Daphnia pulex: one gene and its partners. The protein of the gene in region 1 purifies or fractionates together with the protein of each later gene. This does not show direct contact. Links are inferred from orthologs where the notes say so. Each region holds a gene or a part of one and is shown in the gene's direction. Other genes may lie near its edges.

The links.
Region 2: the proteins of prefoldin subunit 1-like (region 1) and prefoldin subunit 4-like purify together in Homo sapiens (affinity purification with mass spectrometry; 5 studies listed by BioGRID and IntAct, counting the BioPlex papers as one, with this or other methods). This does not show direct contact. The link is inferred for Daphnia pulex from reciprocal best matches to the Homo sapiens genes PFDN1 and PFDN4.
Region 3: the proteins of prefoldin subunit 1-like (region 1) and prefoldin subunit 2-like purify together in Homo sapiens (affinity purification with mass spectrometry; 5 studies listed by BioGRID and IntAct, counting the BioPlex papers as one, with this or other methods). This does not show direct contact. The link is inferred for Daphnia pulex from reciprocal best matches to the Homo sapiens genes PFDN1 and PFDN2.
Region 4: the proteins of prefoldin subunit 1-like (region 1) and prefoldin subunit 3-like purify together in Homo sapiens (affinity purification with mass spectrometry; 4 studies listed by BioGRID and IntAct, counting the BioPlex papers as one, with this or other methods). This does not show direct contact. The link is inferred for Daphnia pulex from reciprocal best matches to the Homo sapiens genes PFDN1 and VBP1.
Region 5: the proteins of prefoldin subunit 1-like (region 1) and prefoldin subunit 5-like purify together in Homo sapiens (affinity purification with mass spectrometry; 7 studies listed by BioGRID and IntAct, with this or other methods). This does not show direct contact. The link is inferred for Daphnia pulex from reciprocal best matches to the Homo sapiens genes PFDN1 and PFDN5.

What each region holds. Positions count from the first base shown.
Region 1 is NC_060021.1:7,365,462-7,368,471, forward strand, and holds prefoldin subunit 1-like, read left to right. Parts: upstream 1-1,765; 5' UTR 1,766-1,877; coding exon 1,878-1,916; intron 1,917-1,983; coding exon 1,984-2,235; intron 2,236-2,306; coding exon 2,307-2,408; 3' UTR 2,409-2,510; downstream 2,511-3,010. Other genes in the region: methionine aminopeptidase 1-like, read right to left, coding at 1-120, 215-280, 354-497, 577-708, 777-999, 1,053-1,228, 1,285-1,495. UniProt on the Homo sapiens protein: Binds specifically to cytosolic chaperonin (c-CPN) and transfers target proteins to it. Binds to nascent polypeptide chain and promotes folding in an environment in which there are many competing pathways for nonnative proteins.
Region 2 is NC_060022.1:3,651,821-3,654,789, forward strand, and holds prefoldin subunit 4-like, read left to right. Parts: upstream 1-1,383; 5' UTR 1,384-1,497; coding exon 1,498-1,536; intron 1,537-1,618; coding exon 1,619-1,723; intron 1,724-1,888; coding exon 1,889-2,038; intron 2,039-2,089; coding exon 2,090-2,242; downstream 2,243-2,969. UniProt on the Homo sapiens protein: Binds specifically to cytosolic chaperonin (c-CPN) and transfers target proteins to it. Binds to nascent polypeptide chain and promotes folding in an environment in which there are many competing pathways for nonnative proteins.
Region 3 is NC_060024.1:9,271,609-9,274,632, reverse strand, and holds prefoldin subunit 2-like, read left to right. Parts: upstream 1-1,501; 5' UTR 1,502-1,588; coding exon 1,589-1,746; intron 1,747-1,845; coding exon 1,846-1,969; intron 1,970-2,032; coding exon 2,033-2,215; 3' UTR 2,216-2,268; downstream 2,269-3,024. Other genes in the region: aurora kinase-like, read right to left, coding at 1-132, 210-368, 431-565, 647-832, 964-1,031. UniProt on the Homo sapiens protein: Binds specifically to cytosolic chaperonin (c-CPN) and transfers target proteins to it. Binds to nascent polypeptide chain and promotes folding in an environment in which there are many competing pathways for nonnative proteins.
Region 4 is NC_060028.1:10,584,959-10,587,876, forward strand, and holds prefoldin subunit 3-like, read left to right. Parts: upstream 1-1,200; 5' UTR 1,201-1,270; coding exon 1,271-1,363; intron 1,364-1,437; coding exon 1,438-1,510; intron 1,511-1,578; coding exon 1,579-1,790; intron 1,791-1,849; coding exon 1,850-1,962; intron 1,963-2,032; coding exon 2,033-2,117; 3' UTR 2,118-2,185; downstream 2,186-2,918. Other genes in the region: guanine nucleotide-binding protein subunit beta-like protein 1, read right to left, coding at 1-774, 837-986; c-Myc-binding protein-like, read right to left, coding at 2,280-2,394, 2,462-2,563, 2,633-2,751. UniProt on the Homo sapiens protein: Binds specifically to cytosolic chaperonin (c-CPN) and transfers target proteins to it. Binds to nascent polypeptide chain and promotes folding in an environment in which there are many competing pathways for nonnative proteins.
Region 5 is NC_060023.1:2,200,216-2,203,451, forward strand, and holds prefoldin subunit 5-like, read left to right. Parts: upstream 1-1,462; 5' UTR 1,463-1,612; intron 1,613-1,668; 5' UTR 1,669-1,703; coding exon 1,704-1,817; intron 1,818-1,885; coding exon 1,886-2,020; intron 2,021-2,081; coding exon 2,082-2,156; intron 2,157-2,220; coding exon 2,221-2,326; intron 2,327-2,386; coding exon 2,387-2,460; 3' UTR 2,461-2,514; downstream 2,515-3,236. Other genes in the region: 1-acyl-sn-glycerol-3-phosphate acyltransferase alpha-like, read right to left, coding at 2,927-3,236. UniProt on the Homo sapiens protein: Binds specifically to cytosolic chaperonin (c-CPN) and transfers target proteins to it. Binds to nascent polypeptide chain and promotes folding in an environment in which there are many competing pathways for nonnative proteins.

The sequences.
Region 1 (3,010 bases):
GAGTTAACACTTCGACACCTGTTTCGGTCACGAGCATTGTATGTTCGAATTGCGCAGATAGTTTACCGTCTTGGGTAACCGCCGTCCAATTGTCCGGCCATTGCTCATCTTTCCATACACCTAAGTAACATTAAAATTGAGTAGTATTAGTTTCTTGTGATAAATGCAAAAGTTTTGATTCTGAAACGGTAGGCAAGTACATTAGACCATTTACCTTCAGATATCATTGGCTCAATTGTGAAACAGTGACCAGGCTTCATGATTCCAACGGCTTTATTCTCTGTGAAAACGTACGTAAGTTACTGATCAAGTTTAACAGATGAGTAGTGTAGGGAGCAATGAAAGTCACGTACTTGCATAGTGAGGAATATTAGGTGCTGTGTGGAAAAGCTGGTGAATACCATGTCCGCAATAACTCCTAACAACTGAAAATCCATGGCTTTGGGCGTGTTTTTGAATAACAGCCCCAACATCGCGATACTTAACACCTGGCTTCACTATAGAGAATGAGGGAAAAAAATGACGCATGAAGAGTTTATCGGTAAACAAATAACTGAAAGCGCGAAGCTTACAAACCTATTTCGATCGCTTTTTCTAGACATTCCCATGTGACTTGCACTAGCCTCTTGGCAGACTCGCTAACCTGACCAACGAATAAGGTTTCATTCAGGTCACCATGAAATCCTCGGTGGTAAGCCGTTACATCAACTAATGAATAAAATCTTTTTAATAAACAAGGATAACACAAACATTTTTAACAAATGAATTATTATTACTGTTGCATATATCCCCATTTTGCATGGGTCTCTTATCAGGGATACCATGGCAGATAACCTCATTGATAGAAGTGCAACAGGATTTTGGGAATTCATAATAATTTAATGGTGATGGATAGCACTCCCGCTCAATGCAGGCTTCATGGACAATCCTATCAATCTCATCTGTTGTGACCCCTACGGCCACAGCATTTGCTGCTTCTTCCAAGATTTCTCTACCAAGCTGTAAATAATATTAGTCAATTGCAAATTTCATAATGGGCAACAATTGATTACCTTGCTGACAACTCTCATTCCTTCTTTCTCTTCATCACTTAAAGCCTTAATATAGGAACTTCCTCTAGCAGACTGTTCTCCAAGTGGATGTCCTTCAGGATGATCAGCATAATCTGGTCTAGCAATGTGTGTAGGGATGGTGCGTTTGGGGGTCTGAGGATATGGACGTAAAGTACCTAAAAAAAAAACTATAGATAGAGATAATATCCCAACACAAAATAATTTCACATACCGGTAAACGGGAAACCAGGCCAAGGATTGTACGCGACGGGCTCTGTCACTGTTTCTTTCTTGTGGACACTCTTATGCACATTCCAGTTTTTTTTGAAACATTCTTGTGTACAAAAGAACGATCCTTTAATGCCCAGTTTAATGCAAGTCGGGCATTGTAACCGGGCTTCTTGGTCACAACCTGGGGTTTCACAAAGAGCTCCTGCAGACATTATTTTCAAACACTTCGCACTTCAATCTTCAAGGCGATTGTTCGTCAATTCGTGTTCGATTCAGGATAGTCGTCTGCAAAGTTATCAGCACTAAACAACCAAACTATGACGTCATTTCACTTCCCCTTGGTGGCTTACAAAATTTTCGATCGTTTATAATGATTATCAAAATAAACATTAATCAGTTCAAAAATTAAAACAATTAAAACTTAATTTAAATAAAATTTTAGACATTAATACTTTCATAGCGATTTTTATAAAATGTGTGGACTCTGTTTAGTTTAGTCATGCTCTCCTCCCAAATTCCAAAATTGTCTTCTGCTGGTGTCACTTTTATAGTCCTGCCGGTTGTAATTCATTGACCCGTAATAATATTTAAAAAATGGCAAAACAAGGACAGATGGATCTTGAACTCAAAAAGGTTATTATTTTTAGTATTTTTGTCTTATTTTGACATCACATATTCATTCCATTATGACTGTTTTCAGGCATTTGCTGAACTACAGCAAAAAATGGTCGAGACGTCTCAAAAGCTCAAATTAGCTGATCTACAGATCGAGACGCTCAAAAGAAGTATGACACATGCACAACTAACTGACAAAGAAATAAGTCAACTTCCAACTGATACCAAAACGTATGAAAGTGTGGGTCGTATGTTTGTATTAAAAGAAGTAACTGTAGCACGAACGAACCTTGAGAACAAAATCAAAGGCTGTGAGGAGAAAGTGAAAACACTTGAGGTTAGATTTACATTAAATTTAATTGTGCATTTTTGTTTACATTTTTTTCTAATTTCTGTTCAATTAAAAAGGGAACTAAAGCATACTTGGAGCGCAGCTTGAAAGAAAGTGAGAACAACATTAGAGAAATGATCCAACAAAGAAAAGATGCTAACACTGGGGATCAACATTGAAGATTAAATGTTTTTTTGCCTACTTGGATACTTGTCTATGCTTTTTTTGTTCGTTTCCATCGATTTTTATGGGGAAACCAAAATAAACTGCTTAAAATACTACGTGGTTAGATTTTTACATAATAGATGGCCAAGGCAAAAGTCGTCTGCTGACCTTGGAGAAAAACTTCAATAACACAGAAAGAGCTGAAGTGAGAGTAAAAACAGTGATCAACAACAAGTTGGGTTTAAGAGACCTTTCGTTTTCAATTTTTGGCCTTGAATAAATCTTATTTTCTAAGGATGCTGACTGGCATCAAAAGGTAGGAATGAAATGAAATTAATTTTAAAAGATGTTATAAAGCAAACATGACGTCGATGTTCGATGACTCCATCGACTTCATTGTAAAAAAAATTGTTTTATTTTCTTGTTGTGTGTGTGCACAATTTGAACAGTTTGAACATGATAGGAATTTTATTTACACCTGTGATCTATTAGTCTTCACAACTTTGTAGTAAATTTAATAGTTTTGGTCTAAATTGCTGTTTATAGTTTAGACATATCAGACTTCATTGGATCTTCTTAGTTAATTTCAGGGGTGAACTAGTGAAAGAAGAGCTGT
Region 2 (2,969 bases), on another chromosome or scaffold:
TTTACGCCATAAACAAAAAAAAGGATCTCGCGCGGCTTTCTCCCATTTCACTGCTGGCATATACCAGCCATAAAAAGCCTTTTCTTTATATTTATTCTATTTGAAAAACTTTGATAAAAATAAAGTTATGCATCATTTTCAAAGAGCTTTAAATTACCCAACTTATTACGCATTTGCCAAGTTAAAGTTCATCATTTAAATGAATTCACAGAAAGTAGAAACGTTTTAGAAATGATGTGCGGATCTAATGGCGGCGAAATGAGGTATTAATGTATCAACACGAACCCACAATACGTCCTACTCTTTAACAAGACCATTTATCACGCTTTCTTCTTCTTTGTACGTACTGCGCACTGACGCTAACTAGGTTAAGCAACTCGGTATTCACGGCTGTTTTTACGGATGAGAGGGACGCTCGGGTTGCTTGACCGCATTAAGTAAAGTGCGCTGGTATAACAGGCTACCGCACAACCGAGTGTAAACGACACTTTGATGAGGAAATTACTTGTCAACGCGCAAAACCCACCTCTGCAGCTGTTGTCGATTGTTCGGTGAACATAAAGGTCTATAAAAAAACGACAGAGAAACACGTTGAGATATGTGAATGAAGCGAAACAGGAGGACGGATGCCTTCTGTCTAAAACGTACATTTCAAGTGGCTTTCGTGAATCGTATAGCGTGATGGAATTCGCCAGGAAATATTTAATAATCAAACAGTTGTTGTTCCATAAGTTGATAAAACTCGTCTTCTCAGTTATTGCGGGCTCTGACGCACAAAGGGGAGATTGATATGATTGGTTAAAACATGTGAAACTATTTCGTCTCTATTGCGTTCTGTTTGTTTTGCTATCGATCTGCAGGGCAACTGCATATAATATGGCAAGTTCGCCACAAAGAAAACCGCTTACTTAGACGTGTTCATATTGCTTTTATTGTAAAAAGAAAAGCTCTCAAAAACAAATAGAAGACATCTTCGTTATTTATTACATTTTTTTTTTCAGATTTCCATAATATTACTTTCACGTGCACGACTTTCTTCATGAGCATTGCAACATGTTTTTGCTTGACATCTTTTTCGAAAATCCGAGAACCCATCAGGATTCATTATAATTTTCTAGTAAGTATCGTAATAATAAGATAGAAACCCGAAGAAAATTTCTCTTTAAGCGCGTGAATTTACACAAACACATTTTATGGAGCAAGCTAACAATTATGAAAGCCGTGTAGGCCTTACTTAATAGGGAATATAATAGCCCTTTCACTTTCCCAGTGGTCAATGCACCTGGGATAAAGACGATTTTTCTTGAAGTAATAATGCCGTAGTATTGAAGTAATAAAAACGAAATGTGCCATAAAGAAATTGCTTGTTAAATCCAGTAAAATAAAAATCCTAAAAAGAATAGTAATTTGAATAATGGCAACCAGCATATCATTATCGATTGAAATAATCGATAAATAGGCGTCGTCTGCTACGTAGGGGTTGTCAAGAAAAACATCATGGCCTCAGTAGCAGTTTCTAAAGATTCTCTTGAATCGGTAAGAAAATGATTTGACTTAAGAATTTATAGCTTAACGTGTTGCCAATTTCTAGTAGTTAAAGTAACTGAAATTATTTTAGGACTCTGACATTCACATTACATTGGAAGACCAACAGAAAATCAACCGGTTTGCACGACACAATGCAAAATGGGAGGAGCTCAGGGATGATCTGAAAAATAAAAAGGTGAAATTCTTTCTATTGCATGCTTCTTTTCGTAATGTGTGTGAAGTCTTCAAAATTATTATGTGTCATAAATGTGCTGGCAGAAATATTTTCGCATTCTGCTCATGATTCACGTTGAAACTTACAATTCTGCATTGCTACTCGTTTTCTCTATGCTTTGTTCAGGGAGATCTTCAAAACTTGGAGGATGCTTCAGATGATTTACTCTTGGTTGATGATGAATCAGCTCCAATTCCTTTCGTTGTAGGTGAAGTGTTTGTTCATTTCAACATGGAAGAGGCAAAGGTGATTTTCTTTTTTCCTCTTCTGTCAATTGTGCATCGCTGTTAAAGTACTGCTTATCGCTAATTGTTTGACTTATCACAGGAGAAACTTGAAGAAGCAAAAGACAAAGTGAAAAAAGATATTGAAGCCATCGAAGCTGAATGCACAAACATCAAGACTTTGATGAGCGATCTGAAGACGCAATTGTACGCCAAATTCGGTAATTCTATCAACCTAGAAGCCGAAGAGGAATAAAGAAAACGTCCAAAATGCTTTCTCCACTATAATAATGAAGAACAATACAAAAAAGAAAAAAACAGTCTTTGATAGCACTGACAGAAACAAATTGTCTCTCAAGCCACAAAGAGAAAAGTAAACAACAAAGCTAAAGAAAGTATTTTTAGCTAGTTTCCCTAACACTAAAAATATCTGCGAAGAAAATGTAACGCTTGACTTGCACCTCCGCAACGACGCCTCTGCATCTGGCTACCACTCGGTACCTCTTTAGTTTCGTAGAGGCCATTCACCGGACGGTTTTCCAGCCTTTCTCTCTCAGTCTCGAGCTCCACGACCTCGTAAAATAATCGATTGTTATTGCTTATGTATTCGTCCGTGTTAACCTCATTTGGACACGACCTGCAGAGAGGACTATCGTTGATACTACCCAATAGGTTCAGAAGAATACCAATCGGAAATTGTCACTTGACTGACCCAGTGACTTAGTTTTCTCGGCTGTCCATCACATGGCCGGTTTTTCATCATCCGGATCGTGCACGTTCATAAAGTCCTCCCTTCCCGTTATTGTGCTCATTACATCCGTTCGACGGTGGGTTTGCGAAGCTTGTCACGTCATGACCGTGCCGCCGCTCACTTTTCCCCTGGTCGAGAGGAAAACCCGCATCGTCCCCCCTCCGGCTGCAGATGGTAGACACGAAGTTTTTAAGCAAACAAACAAAAGAAACGAATGAATCTACAGGACAGG
Region 3 (3,024 bases), on another chromosome or scaffold:
AAAGGAGGTGATCCCACTAAGAATTCGTAGCAAAGAATACCAAGAGTCCACAAATCTACACGTTCGTCGTGAGAGCGCCCTTCTACCATTTCGGGGGCTAAATAATCCAATGTCCCGCACATGGTTGTACGCCTATTGAACAAAAACAATATAACATAAATAACTTCGATTTGTTTGGTTCTACACTAAACAATCATATTTTACTTTACCTAGACGAAGGAGCATGGACGGACCAACCAAAATCGGCTATTTTAATTTCTCCATGAAATCCTAGTAAAAGATTTTCTGGCTTAATATCTCGGTGGATTACTTTCCGCGCGTGACAGTATATCAATGCATCAGCTAGCTGAGCCATGTAATTGGCCGTCCTAAAAATAGGGGTAAATTATTTTCCACAGAACTTATGTTTCTGTTATTTTAAAAAATTTACTGTGGTTCAGAAAAACGGCCATTGGGTTGGCGTTTCAGGTACTTGTACATTTCTCCATTTGCGGCGAATTCCAAGATGAGGTAAATACGAGTTTCATCATAAAAATATCCGTGCATGCGTAAAACATTGGGATGTCTACAGTAGAGTCGCAGAAAAGGTTGATGTGCATTAGTGATATAAATTTTCCATAAAACATGTGATCTCATTAGTATGTACCGTAAATGTGACTGGATTTCAATTTCACGTCTCAACTGGTGTTCCATCTGACATTTTTGTAGTTGAGATTTAAACAAAACCTTCAGGGCTACAATGTATTTGGTATTGATTTCTCTAGCCAAGTACACATTTCCAAACTTCCCTTTACCAAGAGGACGGCCAATTTCGAAGTTATCAAGACTCCATCTGGGTTGAAACAAACAAGCAGAGAAACACACATGATTTGGAAGATTAATGCCACAATTAAAATATTTAAGTCAAGAAGATAAATGAGAAACACTTTGTTGGATTCTGAAAAACAAAAAATTCTAACATACTTTGAGTTTTCCAACTTAACAGTAGGTTGGTTTGAAGAGTTCTCTTTAAGTGGCTGCTTGGTTTCCATGTTATCTGTCAATTTCAAAATCAAAACATGAAACATTTACAAAAACACGAAGTTCAAACTTACTTATTCACTTACATTTTCGTAAAAAACGTTTAGATTGGTCTAAATTTTCAAAATGTGTTGTAATTGTATATACCTGTATACCAATGTCTAAACTTCTAAACTCTAAAACCCTAAACCGTGGTCTACTACGGTGCTGCTGCTACTGGACGGTTTTGGACAAATGGGAAAATATTCAAACGGCAGAACAACCGGCGTTGCCGGTATGATGGTATTATGGAAATATTTTCGCCTCCTCCGTTTGTCGTTTTTCTCAGATTTTCTATAGACTTCGTCTTCGTGTCTAAGACTAATTTATTATTAAATTATTTCATTATCATTAAGACGATTATTGTTCTCGGTGCTCTGCAATCTGCAAATAGGCCTAAGTCAATTTCGACAATCGTCGATCGTCGACTTCGCTACATTCTACCGCTAGTCTCAAATAGGAACTAGGAGGGTAGGAAGTAGAATAGCCTGAAGTTTGTCTGCTGCTTAGTGCTTTTGATACGTAAAAAATGGCGACTGACGGAAGCAAAAAGCAAGCTAAAAATGCTCCGAAAAATGTTAGCAAATCGAATGAAGAAGTCATCCAAGGATTTCAAAGATTACGAACTGAACAGAGACAACTAGCTAGTAAATTATCTGAGCTCGAAATGGATCTAAACGAGCACAAGTAAGTTTTACCGGTTTCACTTTATAAACAGACTTCCATAGCGTGTAGAGGATAATTTACTCCTACTATTAACTATGTCATATTTTTTTTCTTACTCAGACTAGTAATAGAAACCCTTCAAAATGTGGATGAAGACAGGAAGTGCTTTCGCATGGTTGGTGGAGTACTAGTTGAACGAACTGTCAAAGAAGTTCTGCCTGCACTGACATCAAACAGGGACCAGGTAACTTGTTTTCATATTGTATTATTTGGTTGTAATTTTAATTACAATTTATTTTTTATATAGATGACTAAAGTAATTGAAGTTCTCAATAATCAAATTTCCACCAAGGGACAAGAAATTAATGACTTCAAGGAAAAGAATAATATCAGGATACGAAATCAAAATGAACTCCCATCTACAGCTCCTGATAATGAAGGAGAAAATAAAGTTGCCAATCAGGGGGTTTTGGTGGGCACCAAACCTTAACTGATATACCTTGTTTTGTATGCTCTGCTGCTGAAGAAAAATCAGAAAACATATGTTTTGCTTTTGCTTATTTTTATGAATCTAATACTTTCATCTGCTCTACTATCCTAATGGAAGGTTAGAGTACTAAACAATCTGTGTGATTTACCAAGAAAGCTTTTAAGAAGCTTAGCTATTCTAACTTTTGATGTATTTATGAATTACTAGCAGGAATTATTCTATTAGATTTCTATTGAATGCACAATAACTTAGTTTATCTCTGGTTTCTCCGAAGAGCGACAACGCTATAAAATCATATGGATTTGAGATCACACCGGATTTTAAACCAATAATTTTTGCTGCTGCGAACTGTTTAGTTTGTGTGTAATATTTGAAAAGTCAAAAGTGTTCCCCACAAAATTGCTTTGGCGCAGTTCTCCGTAAAATTTGTTTTACAGATAAGTAAACAATGGTGATCAAAATATTTAATTTATTTTCTAGGTGAAAAGTTGGTCTAGACAGTCTACTTATGCAGTATACACCAAAACGATTCGACGACGATGTGTGGGAATTGGTCTCGATGTCAGGTTAAATTCTCATCGTAAGTTTGCTCTCTTTCTTTGTCTGCTCGCGGCTTACTATCTAAATAGATTAAGCCAGCCAACCAAGGATTTTATTATTATTTTTTTTTTTACCGGGACTTTCTTAAAGAAACTGAATTAGTGAACAAGACAACTTCTTACAGTCATCGTTTCTTTTAGAGTGAGCCTATCCTCTCTGCGAATAGCACTAAGGATGAGAATGATTTCTGTAACTTCAAAACACATCTT
Region 4 (2,918 bases), on another chromosome or scaffold:
ATCCCAGAGGGATATCAGAGAGTCGCTACCTCCGGCGGCCAACAAGCCGCCGACGCCGCCGCCGCTTTGACCCATGATGAAGACCAGGCTGTTGACAGGGCCGTCGTGAAGTTGAAGGACGCAGAGCTTTTTATGAGTTCGGGCACTGAAGAAGCGAATGCGATGGTCCCAGCCGGCTGTTGCGTAGAGACGCGGGTCGGATAGGCGGAGCGCCATGACGTTCAGTCCGGGATTGGTCAGCACGACAGACTTGAGCTCGGTTAGGTCGTCGACGTTGAAGATGTATAATGTTTCGCATGAAGTTCCTAATAGGAGTTCATTACGCTGAGCATGATGCCCCAAGCAAGTCGGCATGCTCTTGACCCTTGTTCGATGGAGTACAACGTTCTCGTTCCAGATGCAAATGCATCCACTTTCATAGGCGGTTACTACAGTCGTCTGTTTCCCCAACAATTTAATGGCCATTAATGCTCCTTCGTCGTCGTCGATCGTTAGCGTGCCGGTACGGTCCAGCGACGTCGTTTCCTGACTGATGTTGAAGATTTCAACTGAATTCTTCTTGGCAGGGATGGCTATGATGTTGGCCCAAAGGTCACACTTGCAGAATCCTTCATGAGTGACTAGCATCCGATGAACTGAGATTCCTTCTGCATTCCAGATGATGAGAGATTCATTTCTTCCATGTGAAATTATGTAACCAGGTCTGTCATCCAAAGCCCCAATCCACACAATTGTGGCACTGTGAGCTTGCCAGGTCTTGGTTGGTCGATAAACCTGAATTTAAAAGGTGTTTCGTCATTAGACAATCAATTTTAAGCAAATCAATTTAAGCCTACATTTAAATTCCAAATAGTTATGAATCCAATCTCTGATCCACTGACTAGATTGTATTCACCATCCTCTTTTAGTCTTAGTGCAGCTAATGCAGTGACTGGTCCACTTGGATTGTGCAGAATGTGGACTGGATCTGGTGGTGGTTGAGCCATTTTGTCTTTAATAACCAAATTTGTTTAGTTTCCTAATGCTCAGCTATAGTAGATGATAAGAACTGACCTCAAATAAATGTATCCATCGACAATTTCGAATTAAAAAGCTAATTTTGTTTTTGCATGTCTCACGTCAAAAACTTTCAAAAAGTTGTTTTCTTTTTGGTTCTACAGGTTCACCAGCGCCATCTATGGTGAATAATACACAATCCGTACAAAATCGGCTTTTTACATTGCAGACTAAAAAAACCTTTTTCTGTCTTCTAAAAGCAAAATCTCCAAAAATGGCCTCGACCGCAGCATGTGAACCTATCGAAGATAGTCTGAAATTATCCGGAAAAAAGTCTTTTGCTGGCATTCCCGAAGCTACCTTTGTGGTAAATATCGTTTGTGAAAACACCATGTCAAATTTCTTTCCGTTCAGTGCAATATCAGTTTATACCGGTGACAGGAAGATGTAGACGCTTACATGAAGGATCGTGAAGGGGTGGAGTCAATTTTGCGGCAACTAGACGAACAACATGGTATGTTATTTAATTAAGCCATAATGTATCTTTGCCATGCTTGTTAATTTTATCAATCTTTGTTACAGGAAAATATAAATTCATGGAGCTTAACCTTCTGGCACGCAAAAAGAAGTTGAAGAGTCAAATTCCAGACATCCAAAAATCACTTGACATGATTCAAGTGCTGGAAGCAAAAAGGAAAACTAACGAACAAATTGAAACTCACTTTTTACTCTCAGACCTTCTGTACTCTAGGGCAGTTATTGAACCCACAGATAAAGTCTGCTTGTGGCTAGGGGTAAATTATACCATTTAAACTATACAAGATTGCAAACTAATATTCTGTTTATTTTTCAGGCTAATGTGATGTTGGAATACACTTTAGAAGATGCTAAGGCTTTGTTGGAAAAAAATCATGAAACAGCTATGAAGAATCTTGCACAAGTACATCATGATCTGGACTTCCTTAGGTAAGTTTACTCTGTTTGGCTTGGCTTTCCCTAACAGTGTAACTTTAAATGTTTTTTAAAATCTATACAGGGATCAGATGACAACAACTGAAGTGAACATGGCTAGGCTTTACAATTGGGATGTCAAGAGAAGACAAGCCCTGAATGCTAAATAATAATTCTTTACAGCTAGCATGAAAGGAAACTACTGCAATTGTTCACAATAAAAAATTTTGCTTCAGAATCAAGTTTTTTATTTAATAATGAACATGAAATACATAATAAATGAGTTAAATGTCAAGGCACAGAAGGTAGTGATTTGACAGATGGAAGTGGCCTCAATTTATCTGTTCATCATGATCAGGTGTACTTTGTTCAGAAGGTTCCTCCTTACTCAAACTTTCTACAGCCAAGTACTTTTGAAGTTCTGCAGACAGCCTTTGATTCTCCTCCCTAATATAGAAAATGTGTTCGGTATTCTATGGCTGTAATCATTGTGTAATATTAAATAGCGACTCACTTCAACATCTCAGCTTGTCTCCGAGCAAAATGCAATTCATTCCTCATGGACTCCAGTTCAGCCTGATCGGGATGGGCAACACTCAGGTGGGTTTTTAGGTACCTAATTATGTGAGGAAAAATCTGTATTGTAATAAGTGTTATATGTGTAAGTAATCAAATTCATTGTTACATCAATGCATCATTTGGTTTCTCTGGCTCTTCATAGAGTCCAACCAAAACTTTTGTCAGAGCGTCCATGACTCCTGCCTTCTCTAAATAACGACGAAATTCGTCACGTTTGCTTTCCATTTCTTGATCAGTTTGTATTGAAAATCGTAAAACGGTTGTTTAGAAGGTATGATTTAAAACAAAATCAATGAAATTCTTTCGAAGTAGGTACGAAATACCAACACGTCAGTAGTGATTTCAAAGGGAAATCGAAAGAGTTAAAGACACTTTAACCGATAACTTAACGG
Region 5 (3,236 bases), on another chromosome or scaffold:
GCAAGTGAAAAACAATGTTGGCTGTTGGGGAGCCAAGGACCTTGTTCCGAAAATGAAACGCTAGAGCGTTACGCCACAAATACCGTCGGATGTCAATTAAGAGCATTTAAGATTGGTAGGAGACCTCATCACGGGGGCAACGAAATTGATGAACGGAATCTGGAAGATAAGGAAGCCGAAAGTAGATCCCCATCAGGTAGATCCGTCGCTGTAGCCGGAATGCGTCCTTGTGGTCCCGGTAGCCGCCGAACGCAGACAGGAAAGTGCCGGCCGAATATCGGTTAAGTCACCTTTTTTTTCAAATAATTGTATTTTGTTCTTCTTTGATGAGATCCGTCCGATACAATTAATTCAGGTAATTTGAATATCGGAAAATAATTTGTTTCGTTATTGGTAATTACTTTTTAAAAATCTTGTTTTAGATCAGCATTCCATGGATAACCAACCCATTTTTAATATTGTCAAAGAAGTCAGAAAAACATAATATCGTTTAATGCATTTAGTCTAAATTTTTCGCTTGTTTCTTCATGTAAAATATTTGACACGATACACAAAAATACTTTAAAAAAATGCTATACATTACATATTCAATTCATCCTGAGTTCCTCATTAAAAGTTATTGATTAGACTTGTGCATCCTAGTAATTGATTCTGAAAGTATTCATTGTGTGAATGGTAAGCATAATTGTGCCAGTGCGTTGTGCATAGACTATCGAGTCCTGTTCGTTAAAAAGCAACGTTTTCTTATCGCTTAGTTAAGTTGCAGCTTATAGTGTCCTTATTGGCTGTCAAATTAAAAAAATGTTATTTAGTCTCAGTGTAACAGTAAAAGAGAGCTCTGTCTGGTGTCTAGTCAGATTCCAGTCCGCCCACACAATATCTGTATATCAAGAACCTCTGTATATCGAGATATCGAAAGTGATAAAAGGGAGTTACATCCTGGACTGGCCAGCAGATTTTGATGCTCGGTGACCCCCAGTACATTGATCTTTGCTGTTCTGAAGGATTCCTGCCTTTCCAGTAGCCAATAGGCCATAAGAGTTCAGACTATTCTCTGTGTGTCTCGCAAGATGATTGTAGACGATTGGAAATATATAGCGGTCTTACGTTGCGGCACGTGTCGTGTCACCCGGTATCTGTCGTCTGACTGATTGTGAAGAAATCGTCAACTCATGACGGAAGGTCGGAAAACGCACCACTGTCTGCCCTTTTCATACTCCTGATCGCTCCTGATCTTGATACCGATGAAGTAGAGACTGTCGCCGAGAGGCCGGTTTTTTTCCTCTGGCTCCTTCAACGCTGAATATTTCGCAATCACAATAACAAGGAATCCAATCCGTCTATACTTATTCCTATTTTTTTGCAACTTGAAAAAAGAATTCAAGTCTCAAATTAGAAACAAGATGCATGATTTAAAAAATTTCTCCGTGAATTCTCAATGACTGAAGGCTTTAGAAATATTTCTATAAATAATTGTGACTTCATTTTCAGGTGTTTTTCTCTGAAACCATCTTATAAGAACAGATGCTGTTTAGAAATGCTAAACGCCCAAACCTTTAAATCACGTCGTCTGCTCTTTTACACTGGTGGTGGTGGACATTTCCTTTTAAAGGTACACCCAAAATACTCGAATTTTTGCGGTTCTATATATTTGTATTTCTCGTTAAGTTGATAGATTCCAATCAAGTAACACACCTGTGAAAATGGCTGGTAATGCACAAAAAGATAAAGCCCAAGGAGGAGATAATATGCAGAAAATAGACTTGACCACTTTGACACTTCCACAGCTGTCTCAGTTAAAGCAGCAACTTGAACAAGTCATTATTTCATTATTTTATTTTATAGAATTATTTATAACTGCTTTCTTTCATTTTTGACTGTATAGGATTTAAGCCTGTACCAAGATTCTCTTCAGACTTTGAAAATTGCACAGACAAAATTTCAAGAATCAGCTGAAAGTGCTGAGAAACTAGAATCTACCCAGGAAGGTGCACCTATACTTGTTCCACTCACAGGATCTGTAAGCTAGATTAAAGTAATTGTACATATGATTTCTTGGTATAAGACCTTATATTTGATAGATGTATGTGCCTGGAAAAATCAGTAAACCAGAACAACCTTTGATTGATATTGGAACCGGTTACTATGCAGAGAATGTAAGTGCTGATAATCTTGTCAAAAGATTGAAATGGTTACTAAGTTTTATTGTTTAATGTTCAGACAATTGAACAAGCTAAGAGTTATTTCAGACGTAAAGTAAAGTTTGTTACTGAACAAATGGAGAAAGTACAGATGCTTGGTATTGAAAAGAGTCAAGTCAGAGATGGTAATTTACTTTGATATTATTTTTAATTTTCTCTATGTACTAAAGATTTTTTTACTGCAGCTGTTGCTGAAGTGATGGATTTGAAAGTACAAGCCCAAGTTGCCGCCAACCCTCAGGCTGCAGTTCGCGCTTAAACAGACCATCCGTACAGTATAATAAATGAATAATAAAATTTCATCATCAACAAATTGACATTTTCATTGCTTTAATTTTTTATTTCGATTCGTAATGAAGCTGCTGAGTCTCAAACAGTTAAACTTGCACTGTTAATAACATGGAGGAGTACAAAAAGGGAGATTTCCAATAGAAAAAACGATTTTGTGCATCGTTGTACCTGCCCGGTCGCAGATAAACTTGATGGCCATTGAACATACGCAACAACAGCGAAGTTAACACACAAAAAGTAGTTAAAAAAAATTGCCAAACCGAACATTGGAAATGGGACAAAAAAATTTAGGAATTCAGGTCTACACGGGGACTAGACAGCACATTTTTTCGCCTTGACAGAAAAAAATTATCAATTGTTACACTTTAAATTTCTCACTTTTGAAGCGGTGCAACATTAGTCCAGACCAGCGGATTTAGTCTATGTCAGAGCTTTTAACTAGAAGGTTGAGCATTATTAGCATTAGATATTTCGTCAGAAGAGGATTGATACACTTCCAACATCATGTTGCGCACTCGCTCCATTAACTCAGGTAAATCTTCCATTGTCATGCCTTTAGTAGACACTGGTGGTAATACGGTCATTACAATTTCACCTGGGTCAAACCGCTTTTGTTTGTGATCAAGAAAGTAGTAGTACGAGTAAACGACAGGACTAATAGGCAGCTGCGCATTGATGGCAATGTAGAAAGCACCTTTTTTAAATGGGAGCATGTCTCTTTTCCCGCTATTACGCGTTCCTTCT